3 linked regions of the Schizosaccharomyces pombe genome follow. The gene in region 1 interacts genetically with each later gene. Each region holds a gene or a part of one and is shown in the gene's direction. Other genes may lie near its edges.

Evidence for each region. Genes that interact genetically often act in the same process or in processes that back each other up.
Region 2: of bfr1 (region 1) and trr1, a mutation in one rescues a mutant of the other (synthetic rescue), as found in Schizosaccharomyces pombe (one study listed by BioGRID).
Region 3: mutations in bfr1 (region 1) and mfs1 impair growth when combined (synthetic growth defect), as found in Schizosaccharomyces pombe (one study listed by BioGRID).

The regions. Positions count from the first base shown.
Region 1 is NC_003421.2:708,952-717,695, reverse strand, and holds bfr1 (plasma membrane brefeldin A efflux transporter Bfr1), read left to right. Parts: upstream 1-2,277; 5' UTR 2,278-3,688; coding exon 3,689-8,281; 3' UTR 8,282-8,394; downstream 8,395-8,744. UniProt on the Schizosaccharomyces pombe protein: Confers hyper-resistance to brefeldin A (BFA), an inhibitor of intracellular protein transport. Could serve as an efflux pump of various antibiotics.
Region 2 is NC_003423.3:4,187,799-4,192,324, forward strand, and holds trr1 (thioredoxin reductase Trr1), read left to right. Parts: upstream 1-2,000; 5' UTR 2,001-2,168; coding exon 2,169-2,169; exon of another isoform or gene 2,170-2,468; coding exon 2,469-3,436; 3' UTR 3,437-3,650; downstream 3,651-4,526. Other genes in the region: erg26 (3 beta-hydroxysteroid dehydrogenase/delta 5-to-4-isomerase), read right to left, coding at 1-931; U3 snoRNP protein Nop14, read right to left, coding at 3,825-4,526.
Region 3 is NC_003424.3:4,470,586-4,475,620, forward strand, and holds mfs1 (MFS family transmembrane transporter Mfs1), read left to right. Parts: upstream 1-1,944; 5' UTR 1,945-2,025; coding exon 2,026-2,686; intron 2,687-2,739; coding exon 2,740-3,674; 3' UTR 3,675-4,159; downstream 4,160-5,035. Other genes in the region: SPOM_SPAC9E9.15 (protein CIA30), read left to right, coding at 96-755; protein dhm2, read left to right, coding at 4,705-4,989.

The DNA.
Region 1 (8,744 bases):
AAAAAAAAAAAAAAAAAATTGGATGAGAAGAAATTTTAGTTACTAGCACATACACATGAATTCAAAATACGAGAAAGACACTAAATGGAATAAACGCTGGCGAGTTTATAGAATGTATCAAAATGTTTAGTAGCACACTATTTAGCGCAACAACAAAAAGATCGACACTTTTGTAATTGTGAAATACTGCAATGTGTCGCTGCATCGCTATGCCCGCATTCACGCTAGACGAGATAGTGGAAGTGGAAAATAGCGTTCACGAGCGAAGTGTATGCTACGAGGTGAATGGGTGTTTTTTTATTCCAAATTACGCTAGTTATCGCATTTTGTTTAATAAAATATTAATAAAATACAAAGCAGTGCGAAATGACACGTTAAAATGCTTAAGTGGATGAAAAAAGAATTTAATTTGCCTTAAGTATTTACATATTTACCTATAGAGAGAGGTAAAGAGATGAGCCATATTGCATTCACGTATTTCGTGCCATAGTATTTGTAGCCGATTTGGTAGGATTGCTTCATCAACATGTTGGACCATGTTATTAACACATGATAGGCAAGTTTACGATGGTCTTCGCACTATGATGTCCAACTTTTCGCAGCATCGAAACGGACAATTTTTTAGTACTTTGAGAGCGATGCGATCGAGCTGCTCTCAAAGTGTCAAATTTGCCCAGTAATTTCGACATGCGCTCAGTAATAGAAACTTCTCGTACTGGGCACACTAGCTAGAAACATGGCGCCCACACACAGTCGGACAAACGATGAAGACGCAGTACAAAGTAGGCAAAACAAAAACGGGAGACAGTGGGAATGTAATCGGTCAAGAGAATATTTCGCTCTCTACAATTTCTAGCTACTCAATCTTCTACTTACTAACAACTGATCCAATGTGCAGCAGTATTTATGCTAGAAAGGAGAAAAAGTCAAAACCAACTTTAAAGTCAGTTTGGCTATTTACCTTTTCAAGTCTTTATGGGAATAAAACAGTAGCGCAGCGTAATATTACATAGCGCACTCGATCGTTACAATGCAATTCATCTTGCAAAGTGCAGAGAGAGTGCATGAACATATTCTATACTGGACATCCATTCCAATTTAATCAGATAAATTAAAAAAAAAACAATTGCTCACAAATTCTTCAGTAATCATCTCTATTCGTAATCCTTATCCTTTATCCTTGCAAATTTGAGTATATCTACTCTCCTTCGTAATCTTCCCGATCGCACTCCTTTATTCCTCATTATTCCATTCAACACATTCTCTTTTCCTCGTTATTCTTTGCGCTTACTCATTTCTTACTAATCAGATCTGCAAGAGCTGCATTTGATGCCAAATGTGCGACACTTCTCAAACGCGAGGTGCTCGGACATCGGGCATCGGAATTTAGAAATTAGCCTCTTGCGTATCGCTGTATCGTGATAACAGCAAATGCTGTAGTTGACCGCGCAGCGGTAATTTCGGAACTTGGACGATCCCGACTATGTTTGAGTGCTTCGCTGCTAGGAAACGCTACTAAAGAGGTTTACGAAAACGCTATTTGTCGTTAAATTTACATTACTGAGAGAGTGAGAGAGCAAGTGTCTATAGCTAAAAGTAGCGCAGGAGAGGAAACGTTGAACGCGTAGTTAAATGGAAAAAAGGTAGGATTTGTCAGGTTTTAAACCAATATTCAAATTCATCAAGTCATTTGAATAAAAAATAGACCAAGAAGTAGGAAGTTTGAATGAAAATAGAGAAACTTTTCACTCACTTTTGTATTTCCCTTTGACATGTAAACAAAAGAAAGATAAAGATGAGCGCTCGTACCAGATGGACGATTCGGGTCTTTGTTGGTTTGCAAAACAATCTCTGAAATTATGAACAAACAAAAGAACTTTGTAAAATAATAAAAACTATGCTAAAGTCGGGGGAAATTTCGAGAAAATTTGGGCTTTTTCTGAGGTTAAACACTTTATAAAAGGGATTTTGGACTCTTTTCTCAATCTTTTTGATTCAAGAGAATCTCGCTTTTAATTCATTGAAATTTTTTTTGTTCTTTCTCTCATATTACACTCATTTTTATCGGTTTTTCATCTCATTTCGTCTCTAAACCCTCTCTTTCTTGTTGCGTCTCTTATTATCGAGTTGTCTTAGTCATACTATTATACAAGGCAAATTTATCGCTTGCTTGCTCCTCGGTGTTTAGTCGATCGCTTTTCTATGACATCACTCCGGAGAGTCAAAGCGCCGAACGAAATTGTTTACTAAAGCGAGTCAGCGGCCACCATTTTTTTCACATCATCTTCCTAGCGTTTGGCAGTTCATATTAAAGAACGAAGAAATTGCTCCCTACTTTCTCGATAACCAACTTGCTTTCTGGTTTATCCTTTGAAGCGCAACGAAACGTCGTTTTTATTGAGTTCGTAGAGACCGTTATCTCGATTTAGTTCCTTTTTGTTTGGTTTTCAAGCTTTTGTTGGAGTTCAGGAAGCTTTAGCTTTCTTACCTTTTCTCCCGTTTCCCTTGCATTTCCATTTCCCTCTTCCTACCTGTCTTCTAGATACATTTCTTTCCTCTTGCGGAAACTTATTGGATTCTCTTTCTTCTTTTGAAACGTGGCCTGCAAAAAGCCATTGTTTTTCAGGAAATTTTGCTTTTCTTATCTTTGAAACTAGTTCCTCTTCTAAAAAATTGGCGTTGCTTCTTTCTTCTTCCTATTTGCCCCTTCTCTTCCCTTCTTGTCATAAGCATACCTGTGGTGCTAGGTTTTCATCCCTGCTCCTATTATAAAACTTTCATTTACTCGTATTATTGACCAGTCGTCTTTCACTTTTTCAGTAGGAGTCTGAATCAACACGAATTGGCGATTCGTATTACGAGCAATCTCACAGGCAGACAAGAACGAAATTTTTTTTCCCCTATTGCGTTTGGGAAAATTCACTCTAATAAAAAAGAAGCCTTCTTTCTATATATTATAAAATATATATAGATAGATAAATATTTTTTATACATACAACCGTATACATATCTATTTATCTATATTTGTTATAGTATCTATTTGAACTTTCCAAAGGAGATCCTTCATTTTTTTATCTTCTTCCTTTAGTAATCTTACTGCTTTTTAAGCCAAGCTTAAAAAGTACTGTTCGATTCCCCATTCGTTCCTCTCCTAATTTTAAATTATTTTCTTCACCCACTTGTTAAACAATAAAACTTTTCTCTTCAGTGTACAGTGAGCTCGGTTGCTTACTTCATCATCACTCACTAATTTTGTTTGAAAGTCTTTCTGGTTGCGATTCGCTTTCGCTTTTTTTTTAAACTTGTTGTTGGTCGTTTTCCCTAGCGTTTTCGTTCAATTCACGTACTTTCGTTTGCGTTTTTCTTATTATTTTCACAACTTGAAGTTTACTGTCTTGTGAAATAGCGTTCTAATTCTTCTTACGTTTTGGTAATTTTGTCGTTTATTTTATTAAACTTTTCATTTCTCGTTTTTTTTAAATCGTTGGACGTCGATCTGCTTTTTTTTTTCAGCTCGATTTATAGAGTTCAACTTGTTTCAATTGTATCGTGGTGTTTTCAAAATTTTTTCTTTTGAATCGTTCAATTACTAATATAAAACATCATTTCCGGTTTTTTCTACTTTCTTTTTTCCTATCCTGTTCTATTTTGATTTGTTTCCCTTTTATATTCCTTTTTACATTACGAAATGAATCAAAATTCGGATACTACTCACGGTCAGGCCTTAGGCAGTACTTTAAATCATACCACCGAGGTTACGCGTATTTCTAATTCCTCTGATCATTTCGAGGATTCTTCTTCGAATGTTGACGAGTCTTTAGATTCTTCTAATCCTTCATCCAATGAGAAGGCATCACACACTAATGAGGAATACCGTTCAAAAGGTAATCAAAGTTACGTCCCATCTTCATCAAACGAACCCTCCCCAGAATCCTCATCGAATTCGGATTCTTCCTCATCTGATGATTCATCGGTCGACCGTTTGGCCGGTGATCCCTTTGAACTAGGGGAAAACTTCAACTTGAAGCATTATTTAAGAGCATACAAAGATTCTTTACAACGAGACGATATCATCACTCGTAGTAGTGGTGTCTGCATGCGCGACCATAGTGTTTATGGCGTTGGTTCTGGATATGAATTTTTGAAAACATTTCCTGATATTTTTTTACAACCTTATCGAGCTATCACTGAAAAACAAGTGGTGGAAAAAGCCATTTTAAGTCATTGTCATGCTCTTGCCAATGCTGGTGAACTGGTGATGGTTTTGGGACAACCAGGTTCTGGATGTTCCACTTTCTTGCGTTCAGTTACTAGCGATACTGTTCACTACAAGCGTGTCGAGGGAACCACTCATTATGACGGTATTGACAAGGCCGACATGAAAAAGTTTTTCCCCGGTGATCTTTTATACAGTGGTGAAAACGATGTCCATTTCCCATCTTTGACTACCGCTGAAACCCTTGATTTTGCGGCTAAATGCCGTACCCCAAACAACCGTCCTTGCAACCTCACCCGTCAAGAATATGTGAGTCGTGAGAGGCATTTAATTGCTACCGCATTTGGCTTGACACACACTTTCAATACCAAGGTAGGTAATGATTTCGTACGTGGTGTCTCTGGTGGTGAACGTAAGCGTGTAACTATTAGTGAAGGTTTTGCTACTCGTCCAACTATCGCTTGCTGGGATAATAGTACTCGTGGTTTGGACTCTAGTACGGCTTTCGAGTTCGTCAATGTCCTTCGCACTTGTGCCAATGAACTTAAAATGACATCCTTCGTTACTGCATACCAAGCTTCGGAAAAGATTTACAAACTTTTCGATCGAATTTGTGTACTTTATGCCGGTAGGCAAATTTATTATGGACCAGCTGACAAAGCCAAGCAATACTTCTTAGATATGGGGTTTGACTGTCATCCTCGTGAAACAACTCCTGACTTCCTCACTGCTATTTCTGACCCGAAGGCTAGGTTTCCTAGAAAGGGTTTCGAAAATCGCGTTCCCAGAACCCCTGATGAGTTTGAACAAATGTGGCGCAATAGTTCTGTATATGCTGACCTTATGGCCGAAATGGAAAGCTATGACAAACGGTGGACCGAGACTACTCCTGCTTCTTCTGAAGCCCCCGAAAAAGACAACTTTGGAAGCGATATCTCTGCCACTACCAAGCATGAGCTCTATCGTCAAAGTGCGGTAGCGGAAAAGAGTAAACGTGTTAAGGATACCTCTCCGTATACTGTGACTTTTAGTCAACAGTTGTGGTATTGTTTAGCTAGGTCATGGGAGAGATATATCAATGATCCTGCATATATTGGTTCAATGGCTTTTGCTTTCCTTTTCCAATCTCTTATTATCGGTTCTATTTTCTACGATATGAAATTAAACACCGTTGATGTATTCTCACGTGGTGGTGTTCTTTTCTTCTCTATTCTGTTTTGCGCACTTCAGAGTCTTTCTGAAATCGCTAATATGTTTTCCCAACGACCCATCATTGCTAAGCATAGAGCTTCTGCTTTGTACCATCCTGCTGCAGATGTTATTAGTAGCTTGATTGTCGATCTACCTTTCAGATTCATTAATATTTCGGTTTTCTCAATTGTGTTGTATTTTTTAACAAATTTAAAGAGGACTGCTGGCGGATTTTGGACTTACTTTTTGTTCCTTTTCATAGGTGCTACTTGTATGTCTGCCTTTTTTCGATCATTAGCTGGAATTATGCCCAATGTTGAATCTGCATCTGCTTTGGGTGGTATCGGTGTGCTTGCAATTGCCATTTACACTGGTTATGCTATTCCTAATATCGACGTTGGATGGTGGTTCCGCTGGATTGCTTATCTCGACCCGTTGCAATTTGGTTTTGAGTCTTTAATGATTAATGAATTCAAGGCACGACAGTTCGAATGCTCTCAATTGATTCCGTACGGTAGTGGATATGACAATTATCCTGTAGCTAACAAAATCTGTCCCGTCACCTCTGCAGAACCTGGAACAGATTACGTTGACGGCTCAACTTACTTGTATATTAGTTTCAACTACAAGACGCGTCAATTATGGAGAAATTTGGCTATTATTATTGGATATTATGCGTTCTTGGTATTTGTCAACATCGTCGCCAGTGAAACTCTTAATTTCAACGATTTGAAAGGTGAATATCTGGTCTTTCGCCGCGGCCATGCTCCTGACGCTGTAAAAGCAGCTGTCAATGAAGGTGGAAAACCGCTGGATTTAGAAACTGGTCAAGATACTCAAGGTGGTGACGTTGTTAAAGAGTCTCCGGACAACGAAGAAGAGCTTAACAAGGAATATGAAGGAATTGAAAAAGGCCATGACATTTTCAGCTGGAGAAATCTTAACTACGACATTCAAATAAAAGGTGAGCATCGCCGGTTACTTAATGGTGTGCAAGGCTTTGTTGTTCCAGGTAAATTGACGGCTTTGATGGGTGAATCCGGTGCTGGTAAAACCACTTTACTAAATGTACTTGCTCAACGTGTTGACACTGGTGTAGTAACTGGCGACATGTTGGTTAATGGTAGAGGATTGGATTCAACTTTCCAACGGCGCACTGGTTATGTACAACAGCAGGATGTCCACATTGGTGAATCTACGGTTAGAGAAGCGTTGCGTTTCAGTGCTGCTCTACGTCAACCTGCTTCCGTTCCTCTTTCGGAAAAGTACGAATATGTCGAATCAGTCATTAAACTTTTGGAAATGGAGAGCTATGCTGAAGCAATTATCGGTACTCCTGGCTCCGGATTGAACGTAGAACAACGTAAGCGTGCAACCATTGGTGTCGAGTTGGCTGCGAAGCCTGCTTTATTGTTGTTTTTAGACGAGCCAACTTCTGGTCTAGATAGTCAGTCTGCATGGTCCATTGTTTGTTTCTTGCGAAAATTAGCTGATGCTGGTCAAGCAATTCTTTGTACAATCCATCAACCCAGTGCCGTACTGTTTGATCAATTTGATAGATTGTTACTGCTACAGAAAGGTGGTAAAACAGTGTACTTTGGTGATATAGGAGAACATTCTAAGACTTTGTTAAATTACTTTGAATCTCATGGAGCAGTACATTGTCCTGACGACGGTAATCCAGCTGAATACATTTTAGATGTTATTGGTGCTGGTGCCACTGCCACTACTAATCGTGATTGGCATGAAGTTTGGAATAACTCAGAAGAACGTAAAGCCATTAGTGCAGAGCTAGACAAAATTAACGCTTCATTCTCAAACAGTGAGGATAAAAAGACTTTGTCAAAGGAAGATAGGAGCACTTACGCCATGCCTCTGTGGTTCCAAGTCAAAATGGTCATGACCAGAAATTTCCAGTCTTATTGGAGAGAGCCCTCTATATTGATGTCTAAATTAGCACTGGATATTTTCGCTGGTTTATTTATTGGATTTACATTTTATAATCAAGGTCTCGGTGTACAGAATATTCAGAACAAGCTTTTCGCTGTGTTTATGGCAACCGTTCTTGCAGTTCCTTTGATTAATGGTCTTCAACCAAAATTTATTGAGTTGCGTAACGTCTTTGAAGTTAGAGAAAAGCCTTCGAATATTTACAGTTGGGTTGCATTCGTATTTTCAGCCATTATAGTAGAAATTCCATTTAACCTGGTGTTTGGCACGCTTTTCTTCCTTTGTTGGTTTTATCCAATCAAGTTTTATAAGCATATTCATCATCCTGGTGACAAAACTGGTTACGCTTGGTTGCTTTATATGTTCTTCCAAATGTACTTCTCAACTTTTGGCCAAGCTGTCGCCAGTGCGTGCCCTAATGCTCAAACAGCGTCCGTTGTCAACAGTTTGTTATTCACATTCGTGATTACATTTAACGGTGTTCTGCAGCCTAATAGTAATTTGGTCGGATTTTGGCATTGGATGCATTCGTTGACTCCGTTTACCTATTTGATCGAAGGATTACTTTCTGATTTGGTGCATGGACTTCCAGTTGAATGCAAGTCTCATGAGATGCTTACTATCAACCCTCCTAGCGGTCAAACATGCGGTGAATATATGAGTGCTTTCTTAACTAATAACACAGCTGCTGGAAACCTCTTAAATCCTAATGCTACAACCTCATGCAGTTACTGTCCATATCAAACCGCTGACCAGTTTTTGGAGCGGTTTAGTATGCGTTATACTCATCGCTGGAGAAATTTGGGTATCTTTGTTGGTTATGTGTTCTTCAATATCTTTGCGGTGCTTTTGTTGTTTTACGTATTCCGAGTCATGAAGCTTAGAAGTACTTGGCTTGGTAAAAAGATTACCGGAACTGGTTAAATGTATTAATATGGGGTGTTTTGATGTTTTTAAGTTTTATGGTCTTTTTTTATACACTTTTTTTCTTTAAAAAATAATTTGTTAATGGTGGAATAAAATACTATTAGTACTCATAATAGCAGACGGCTTGGGTGACGAGTGTTGCCATATTCGTTAATTTACATTAGAAATTATTTTTACTATGTTGACATGTATGCATGCATAAGACTTTTGAGGTTTATACCCAACCAACTTTGAATCTTAGCATGTGTGAAAGCAAATTAACAGAATTCTCTGTATTTAATTTATCTTTTTTATTTTTCTTGAATTAGAATACGAGACAGTAAACTTTAACTTTTGTGAAAAGAAAACTCTCAATTAAAAGGAAAGGAATGTATTCCATCGTAATTAAATATGCTTGTTGCAAGTATTGCATTAATAGCACTTCGTCAATTGTAAAAGATATGCCGGAAACAGTAATGTA
Region 2 (4,526 bases), on another chromosome or scaffold:
CCTTTTGAATGTTAAAGTAACGGTTAGCACAACTAAATTGGACACGGAAACGTGTAAAGCCAGGTTCCTTTTTCAAGAAATAACAAACCCATTCAGCAGCAGTGGCTAAGAGCATACCCACCGGTCTAGGGAATTTGATGATATAAGGGGGAACGTGTCCTGCATGTGCCCAAATAGCACGTGCAAAGTCCCAAAAGTAAATAACCTGTCCATTGGTAATGAAAAAGACTTGGCCATTGGCAGTAGGATTACTAGAAAGTAAATTGTCCATAGCCAGAAGATGAGCATAGGCAGCGTTTTCGATGTAGGTAAAATCAAAAAGATTCAAATTATCACCCAATTGAAATTTGGTTTGTCCATTCTTTAAAACAGAAAGCATACCAGGGACGAGTTGGCGATCACCTGGACCAAATAAACCAGCAACTCTAAGGGCAGCAGTTTTTAAAGATTCAGAACTTGCCTCCAAGACTTGTTTTTCTGCCAAAGCTTTGGACTCGTTATAGGCATCCATATGAACTTCTGGGATGGGCTGGGACTCATCCACATTGATAAGGTCAGCACCATTGAAAACTACACCTGCGGAACTAGTATAAACAAGGGCATCAACATTAAATTTCTGGCATGCTTTGATGATATTCGCTGTGCCATCTACGTTCACTTCAAAGTAAATATCACGAGCAAGGTTATGCACAGGTGAAGCAGTGTGAATAACTACGCGTGGATGAAATTCCTCAAAAACACGCTCAATATCACCTTGTTTCGTTAAATCACCCGTATACATGGTGAATTGACCATGAAGCTCGTGTAGCAACTTTTCATTTTCAAAGAGATCAAATGCAGCAATTCGAAGATTTTCACGTTCGCACAGCTGCCGTATGATATGACCTCCTAAAAATCCACTTCCAATAACTAACACGGAATTCATCGGCATTAAAAAAATACAAGAATAAACGATTGTCTGGTTCTTGCCAGGTATTCGACGTTACACCATATCGAGAAATGAGTGAGCTTATTTGCTACCTGTGTTTTTGGGGTGTAGGCTAGATGCAATACACTAACCATGATTAGCGAGAAAGAGAGCAGCTGTTGAATATGGAACATGGGTTAGAGGATAGTAGCCGATTGAAACTCTATTAGTACAATATGTAGTACGCACTTAGAAAACAGAAAAATTAAGTGAGTAACATCTCGAGTACCATTACAAGAAAACGATGACCTCCCGACCTCGTACCGTTCACATCTAAAACTGGCCTATTGTAAAGCAATGCTGCGTGCTACCTTAAAGCTCGATAATGTTGATAGCAGCCAAAACCCAATTTTCGTACTTTCTTCGTTGAACGTTAAACCAATTTATTATTTATAAATTCTATCGTTATACCTTTTATCAAATCACAATATTCAGCGTAAAACATTTTTCCTCGTTGGTAACCTTAATAAATAAATTATTAAGCAGTGTTGATCGCAGGAACAGCAAATTTTTCTTTTTTGGGTTGTAAACGACTAAAATTTGTTTCCTTGAAATTACTTTTCGCAATTGTTTTTTCTAGGCTACACCAATCGCACTTGAATCATACTTGTTTTTGGTTAAAACCTTAGTAAGGCAAGTAGCCCAGCACGGCTACATTGAGAATTTTGCTTTCTGCGCGTCTCTTTGACAATTTGTTTGGATTGTGGAGGCTTAAACTCTTAACTAACAAAAACGTGGATTTTTCTTGTCGAGTTCTTTCTATTGTACTAGCATAGGTCAGTCGTCTTTCATGTACAAAGCGTCGCTTACTCATGGCTTTGGTGGTTCGTCCATTTATCGTGGCCTCACTAATTCTCGACATTCCTATACCCTCTTCTACCATGTTGGCATTAAATTTGCTTACGCGATATCGGTGTCTCGTTCTGCCACTGTTAATCTAAGCGTTCGCACTTTTACGAATGTCTCGAACGAGTCTCATTATTCATCGCTAGTAAGCACACCATTTCCCAGGGCTCTATATAAGAATCAATTTACCCACTACCACCATATCGCATTCCTTCGATACTTCAGGACATTCTTTCCTTATCAGAAATTTAGCTTCTATAAAGGCATACCCGATTCTTTTAAGAAATCTTTGAAGTTAGGATCTATTTATTCCCCTTTAAAACAAACATATTTCTCTACAAATACTCATATCAATAGTAAGTGAAACGAAAAACGTGCAGGAAATGTGACGGCGATGAAGTCGAACCCAACAAAAAAAAAATTATTACCTAAAAATAAAACTAATTCGGTGATGAATTTTTTTCTTTTTTTTTGTTGATTAGTAGGAAACTTTTTTATTTCCGAACTCACGTGTAAGATTGGGTTTCATCTGTTTTTTTATCATTGTTCGATAATGGTTATCTTGTGTTCTTTCAGCTTTTCTATCCTTCTCGCCTTACAACATTAACGTTTATCTTTTTTTGTTTTGTTTTTTTAATTTTACTGACTTCATTAGTGACTCACAACAAGGTTGTTATTATTGGGTCTGGTCCCGCCGGCCATACTGCAGCCATCTATCTCGCCCGTGGTGAGCTTAAGCCCGTAATGTACGAAGGTATGCTTGCCAACGGTATTGCTGCTGGTGGTCAGCTTACTACTACCACCGATGTCGAAAACTTTCCTGGTTTTCCCGATGGTATCAATGGTACTACCCTTACTGAAAACTTCCGCGCTCAATCTTTGCGTTTTGGAACTGAAATTATTACCGAGACTGTTTCCAAATTAGATCTTTCTTCTCGCCCTTTCAAGTACTGGTTGGAGGGTGCTGAAGAGGAAGAGCCTCATACCGCTGACAGCGTTATTTTGGCTACTGGTGCTTCCGCTCGTCGCCTTCACATTACTGGTGAGGATACTTATTGGCAAGCAGGTATATCTGCTTGTGCTGTATGTGATGGTGCCGTTCCCATTTATCGTAACAAGCCTCTTGCTGTCGTTGGTGGTGGTGACTCTGCTGCCGAAGAGGCCCAGTTTTTAACAAAGTATGGTAGCAAAGTTTATGTCCTTGTGCGCCGTGACAAGCTTCGTGCTTCTCCCATTATGGCCAAGCGTCTTTTGGCTAACCCTAAGGTGGAAGTTTTGTGGAACACCGTTGCTGAGGAGGCCCAAGGCGATGGCAAGTTGCTCAATAACCTTCGTATCAAGAATACCAACACGAATGAAGTCTCTGATCTTCAGGTTAACGGACTCTTTTATGCTATTGGACATATCCCTGCTACTAAGTTAGTAGCTGAACAAATTGAGCTTGATGAAGCCGGTTACATTAAAACTATTAATGGAACTCCTCGTACTTCAATTCCTGGCTTTTTTGCCGCTGGTGATGTTCAAGATAAGGTCTTCCGCCAAGCCATCACTTCTGCTGGAAGTGGTTGTCAAGCAGCTTTATTGGCTATGCATTACCTTGAAGAATTGGAAGATACCGATTAGAACTAATCTAGAATAGTTACTGATTCCCTTTTCCCTTTTTGGTATTCATATGCATTTTGTATGCTCCTTTCCTTTCTTTTGTTTATCCAATAATTTTAGGAGTATCTTATCAATTATTGTTTACTATAGATACATGGCTTTTTGATTCGTAGTTATTTTTACACGAAGAGCAATAATAATGATTGTTTCCCTTTTTCTACACCTTAGTTTACGCATGGTATGTATGTAAAATTATATAAGTTTTTTTACTATTGATATAATAGTAATAGTGGACTTTGGCTGGAAGTATTAAGCTAAAATCATCAATTACCTATAAATTTTCCCCTAATGATCCCTATACTACCCTTTATAATTTAAATTCAAAAACTTAAAGAAATGCACACTTTCTCTAGACAGCCGGATCAAAATGCTGCAAACGATTTTCCAACTTCCGCATTTTCTCATTGTAGGCTTGGTCCTTAGCACGTTGCTCTTGCCTTCTCTCCCTAGCAATAAACCTGGCATCCTTGCGGAGAGTGCGGATAGCTCCTTTCTTGGCATCGCGGTGTTGAGCACGCAACTTGTTGAGTTGAGCCCTTTCGGGATCAATATCATGGGAGCTTTTGTCAAGAGAATAACCTTCCTCAAACTTAGGAACTTGACTAGTAATTCCTAAAGGACGATGAGATTGTAAAGCCAATGGTTTACGGTTTGCTTTAGCTGATTCAATAGAATCGGAAACAGCCTGTAAAGTAGATAATAATTTTTCCGATAAACGTTTACTCAAAAGTTCCTTTTTCAAAGAGTACAATTGTAACATGTCCATAATGGGTACAAATATTTCAATGAAAGCTTGCTCCTTAAAATAAATGTCAATCGCCATTTCTATCAAATTTAAAGTTATAAATAAAATGGAAGACTGTAGAAGCCCTGTCGGTAACTCTTCTAATTCATATAGGCTTAGCCTTTGAGGTTCATCGAGAGATATATCTTGAATGGCGAATAAATTTTGCTTTTCCTTCAAAGAATCAGGAAGTGCAAATGTTCCTGGTACTATAGATATGAAATTGGGGTATAGCAAATAAAGTGCCTGTGAGACTGCCGTTATAAC
Region 3 (5,035 bases), on another chromosome or scaffold:
CAATAAGTAGGCTTCATATCTTTCCTTTGCCTTTGTTATTGAATACAAAATACTCATATATCCACCGCTGTTGAACATTACTCCATTAAAAAGAAATGCTTGTTCTTTTTGGTCAGCCAGAAAATTGGCATGAGCAGGATTTTCGTGCTGTAGATGATAGGGTTCGTGGAGGCTCTTCGATAAGTCATCTCACTGAGGAGAAGGATAGTGATGGGAAATCTCGCGCCAAGTTTTGGGGCACTCTTGATACTAAGACCTTGGGAGGCGCTGGATTCTGTAGTCAGGCTACTAATATCAAGGATAGGACGTGGAACCTGAAAGAGTTTAAAGGAATTGAGCTCGATATTGCTAAGAGCGATTCTTATAAATATACTTTTATCATTAAGGATTGTCATCAAGATTGGGAAACTTCTGATGAGAAGTCAAGTTTATCATATGAATACGACTTTACACCTATATATTCTAAGGAAGACCAAGTTGTTTCAATTCCGTTTTCCGAATTTAAACCGACTTATCGTGGTCGACCTGTAGAAGGAGCCCCGGAGCTTGACGTTAGCAAGATCACTCAGTTTTCAATTATGATTCGAAGCTTTTTTAATTCCCAAAGTGGCGACTATGAACTAGTTTTAAACAGTATTCGTGCTATTCCAAAGAATGTTCCTTTTACTACCCATAAGATGAGTAACGAGAAGCAAAGACTTTTTGACGATTATGAAAAAGAAATTGCTGGAGGTTCTTGGTGCATTTGCCAATAATTCCAAAGTTTTAGCAATACTTACTTAATTTATTTTCATGACATTTGATGAATTTAACTTGCGTTTTGTGCGGTATTCATTTGTATAGTAAAGACATGAAATTATAGTAAAGGCGACTTTGTATTACTTTAGTGTTGGGGATATTAAAGTCTCCTGCTACTCTTTTTTTATTTTGAAGTAATTTTAAAGAGATGAATAAGGTTAGCAATAGTTTAATTGACATCAATTTAGTACATTGACATTTACAAAAATCTGAGTTTTTAGCTTAGCCGTTACTTCTATCCATTAATGGTGATGTCCGACTAATGTCATTAGAGCAATTAGCATTTGCAATCATAAACTAGACGATCATAATCAATCAAAGTAATTGACAAACAACAACACTATGAATTGATATACGTACAACTATGGAGTTGTCACATCTCTGCAAAACTACAACCAAAGTAAATTCAATTTAGTTTGCTTATTTTAACTTCTGATTGTCAGTAACTTACCATATATACTCAACGCATTCTTTCCCATTGCCGCGGAATTTGTACAAATTTGACTAGTGAGGTTCGCTAAACTTCTTGATGATAGTAGTATCGACAGATTGTCATCACCGTATGTCTTGAAATAATTAGTTGGGTGTTTGCATTCCCCAATGAAATAAAAAATCTTCAATATTTAACTTTATTTTTATTATTTAAAGTACAAATTACATTCATCAATGAATGGAGCTGTTGAAAGCTTATTGTACATAAAAGTAATTAACAAGCGAGAGTATTCTATCTATTTATCTACTTACAAACAGATCAATCTAATGGAGTCGTTAAGAGTACCTTTATCCTTTTCTAAATGTATTCATAGGCTTAAACCACTAACTTAAAAGTAATTTTATTGTGTTGACAAAAGTTAAGCCACTGCTAGAATAGTGTAAATATTTTAAGCGAATTACGGTTAAACGATGCGACGGACAAAGATAACATTTTTCCCGACAAAGCGCTTCTATGTTTATCGACTAATACTGAATAAACCTATCCTCGGTTTCAACGAATTTTGCTTCCGAGTGTATAGATCAGCGCAAGTGGAAATTCTTAGAAGTGGCTAAACATGCTATTTAGGCCAATGTCCAACAAGGAAATTTTCATGACATGAAGTAAGAACTGGTCTATTTAAAGAGGTTCTGTCTGGCAAGCAAAAGTTCTACGAGGAATGTAATGACAATCAATTTTGTCAAGTTTTTATTACGATCCACTGAGAACAAGAACTTGCATTGAGAACCGATTGGATGTGGTTTTTAAGAGAAACAATTTTTGGTGAATTAGTGGAATACTTTTCTGGCGGTACTCGCCAAGTTGATGTGGAGAAATTAGGAGTATGCACAGATAATAGTAATGTTGAGTTAAGTAGTTGCCCCGATTCTTCATTTGACGACGAGAAAACTAACCAGGTTAACTCTGAAGGATTGATTATTGTGACATGGGATGGCGAAGATGATCCTGAAAACCCAAAAAATTGGCCTTTATGGGCAAAGCTCGTAGTAACATTTGATGTTTGTTTTTTAACGTTTGCCGTGTATATGGGGTCGGCAATCTTTACTCCTGGTATTCAGGAAATTCGAGAGACGATGCATGTAGGAACCGTGCCCGTAATCTTGGGGCTGACTCTTTTCGTTGAGGGGTATGCGGTTGGCCCTCTCATTTTCTCTCCACTCTCTGAGGTACCTCAAATAGGCCGTCAAAAAATTTATGTGCTCTCCCTTATTGTTTTTATCTGTCTGCAAATCCCCACTGCGCTAGGATCTAGCTTGGGTGTTTTGCTTCCAATGAGATTTTTGGCGGGAGTTTTTGGCTCACCTGCCCTCTCCACTGGAGGAGCCTCTCTGGCCGATATTTGGCAGCCATGGCTTTATCCTTATTTCATGTGTTTCTGGTCCCTTGGCGCAGTTGGTAAGCTGGATCATTTAATTTGATAGTGAATTTGTGACTAACTAGTTTTCTAGGTGGTCCTGTTTTAGGTCCCTTGCTTGGTGCAGCCATGGTAGTTGCTAAATCATGGAGATGGCAGTTTTGGCTTTTGATGATGATTTCTGCACTTGTCTTGGTAATTATAACTTTTTTTATGCCAGAAACCTCTGAATGGCATTTATTGTATAAAAGAGCTAAAAGACTGCGCGAATTGACTGGAAATCCAAATTATAAAACGGAGGCCGAAATAGCCTCCTCGCAATTGAGTAAAGGCCAATTTGCAAAGCAAATATTGGTTCGTCCTATAATTCTGTGTGTCTCAGAACCAATCGTTCTGTCATTAACCATCTATATTGGATTAGTATATTCAATTTTATACCTATGGTTCGAAGCCTTTCCCATCCTTTTTACTACAGTCTACCATTTTACGACTATTGAAAACGGGTTGGTTTACATGGGTATATTGGTAGGTTCAGTTCTAACCGTAGCATTTTACTTTATTTACCTTAGAAAAGTGATGATTCCTAAGTTTGTGGAAAATAAGGGTAAGTTTCCTGCTGAAGAAATTTTAATCATCTCATTTCCAGCTGCCTTTTTTATTCCAATTTCACTCTTTTGGTTTGGTTGGACAGGAAGAGAATCGGTGCACTGGATTGTACCAATTGTTGGTACACTTTTCTACGCATCAGGTTCCTTTTTGTTGTTCCAAAGTATGTTTCAATATTTGGCAGCTGCATATCCGAAGTATGTTGCATCAGTATTTGCTGGAAATGCTCTTTTTCGATCTTCCATGGCTGCAGCATCTCCTCTATATGCTAGAGCCATGTTTAATAATACAGGTCCTTCATATGCCCCAGTGGGGTGGGGAAGCACGATTCTTGGTGTTATTTCTTGCATAATGATCCCCATTCCATTCTTGATTTATAAATGGGGTTTGAAACTAAGAAGTCGATCAAAATATGCCACTTAAAGAAAATTCATGCTAAAAAAATACCTCTTTACTGGTCCCTCACCTATACCTTCCTTTATTTAATTCTGGTCTTTTGTGATCATTACATATTATTCGATTACTCCGTGGTAACCTTAACGAAGGATACGAATTTAATTTTTATACATTAGATATTTATGAGTTTCTTTGCTGTTTATTCCTTGTCATTTTTTAAAGTGCTATTAGTTGGATATGGTTATTTCTACTCTAGTCTTTAATAATTTCTAATGTTATTAGTCTGGAAATATTAGTGTTTAATAAAATGGAGCTTGGCGATACGTTTACAATTGCTCTAAGCTCGTTACTCTTAGCCAAAAAAGGAAGCCGGAATTTATTTACAAAACACCAACTGAATAAATTTGTTTACGTTTTTAAATGTGTTTACCTAATAACTTGACTTTGTTAAGTGGATGTTAGTTCCAAGCGTTTGATTGTTAATCATTGCAGTTTTAATATAAAAAAAAAATGAAATGTGAAGAAGAGTAAAGTTATAAATATATTTTTCCTCATCCCTCCTGTTTTCAAACGTATTGAAAAAGATCATGCTAATTGACTATTTTTTGCGTGCGAATCCATTTTGAAATTTAATCTTTCATATTCTTATTTAAATAACAATAAATAAGACATTAAGATAACGAGCAGACACAGCTAACTACCTCTAACTTAAAGTTTTTTTACTTTAGGGCTTCCCTATATTTTCATCTGTTCTCTACGAATTAACCGCTTTATTTAGTTTACCTTGAAGTTAATTTGTGTACTATCCAAAACATCGTTAAAGCGTAAGCAACGCGACAAGTAGTTTATAACACTATTGTAAAGCATTTACCGCGTTATAGCTTTTTCCCTTAAATTCATACCGAACACAGTACGCCGCGTAAGATTGAATAAGGTTACATTGAGCTTTTCCATCGCATTCAAAATGCTGCATTCTTAGTTATCCAAGGCTACAAACGCTTATTATGGAAAGGGCAGTCGAACTTTCTGTTAGAAGTTAGATGGTTTTTAATTCATCATGAGTGATTCCTTTCATTATCAATATGATCGTGCTTCGCCTGAACGACTAAAGCCTACGATTTATTCGTGGACGCGTCTTAGACAATCTACACGTGCCCAAAATGAAAATGAACAAGCTAAAAGGCGACAGGGGATTTTGGAACATAAAAGGGGAGGTTCCATGGAAATGAATAAATTTATAGACGAAAGCGCTTATATGGAATGGGAAAAACAACTTGAAAATGCCTCTGAAGATTATGCAATTGAACCATCGGATCTGGAAGAAGAAGTTGATCAATTGTAACGATTTCTGAAAAAGGAAAACATAACACTATGATTTTATTCGTTTG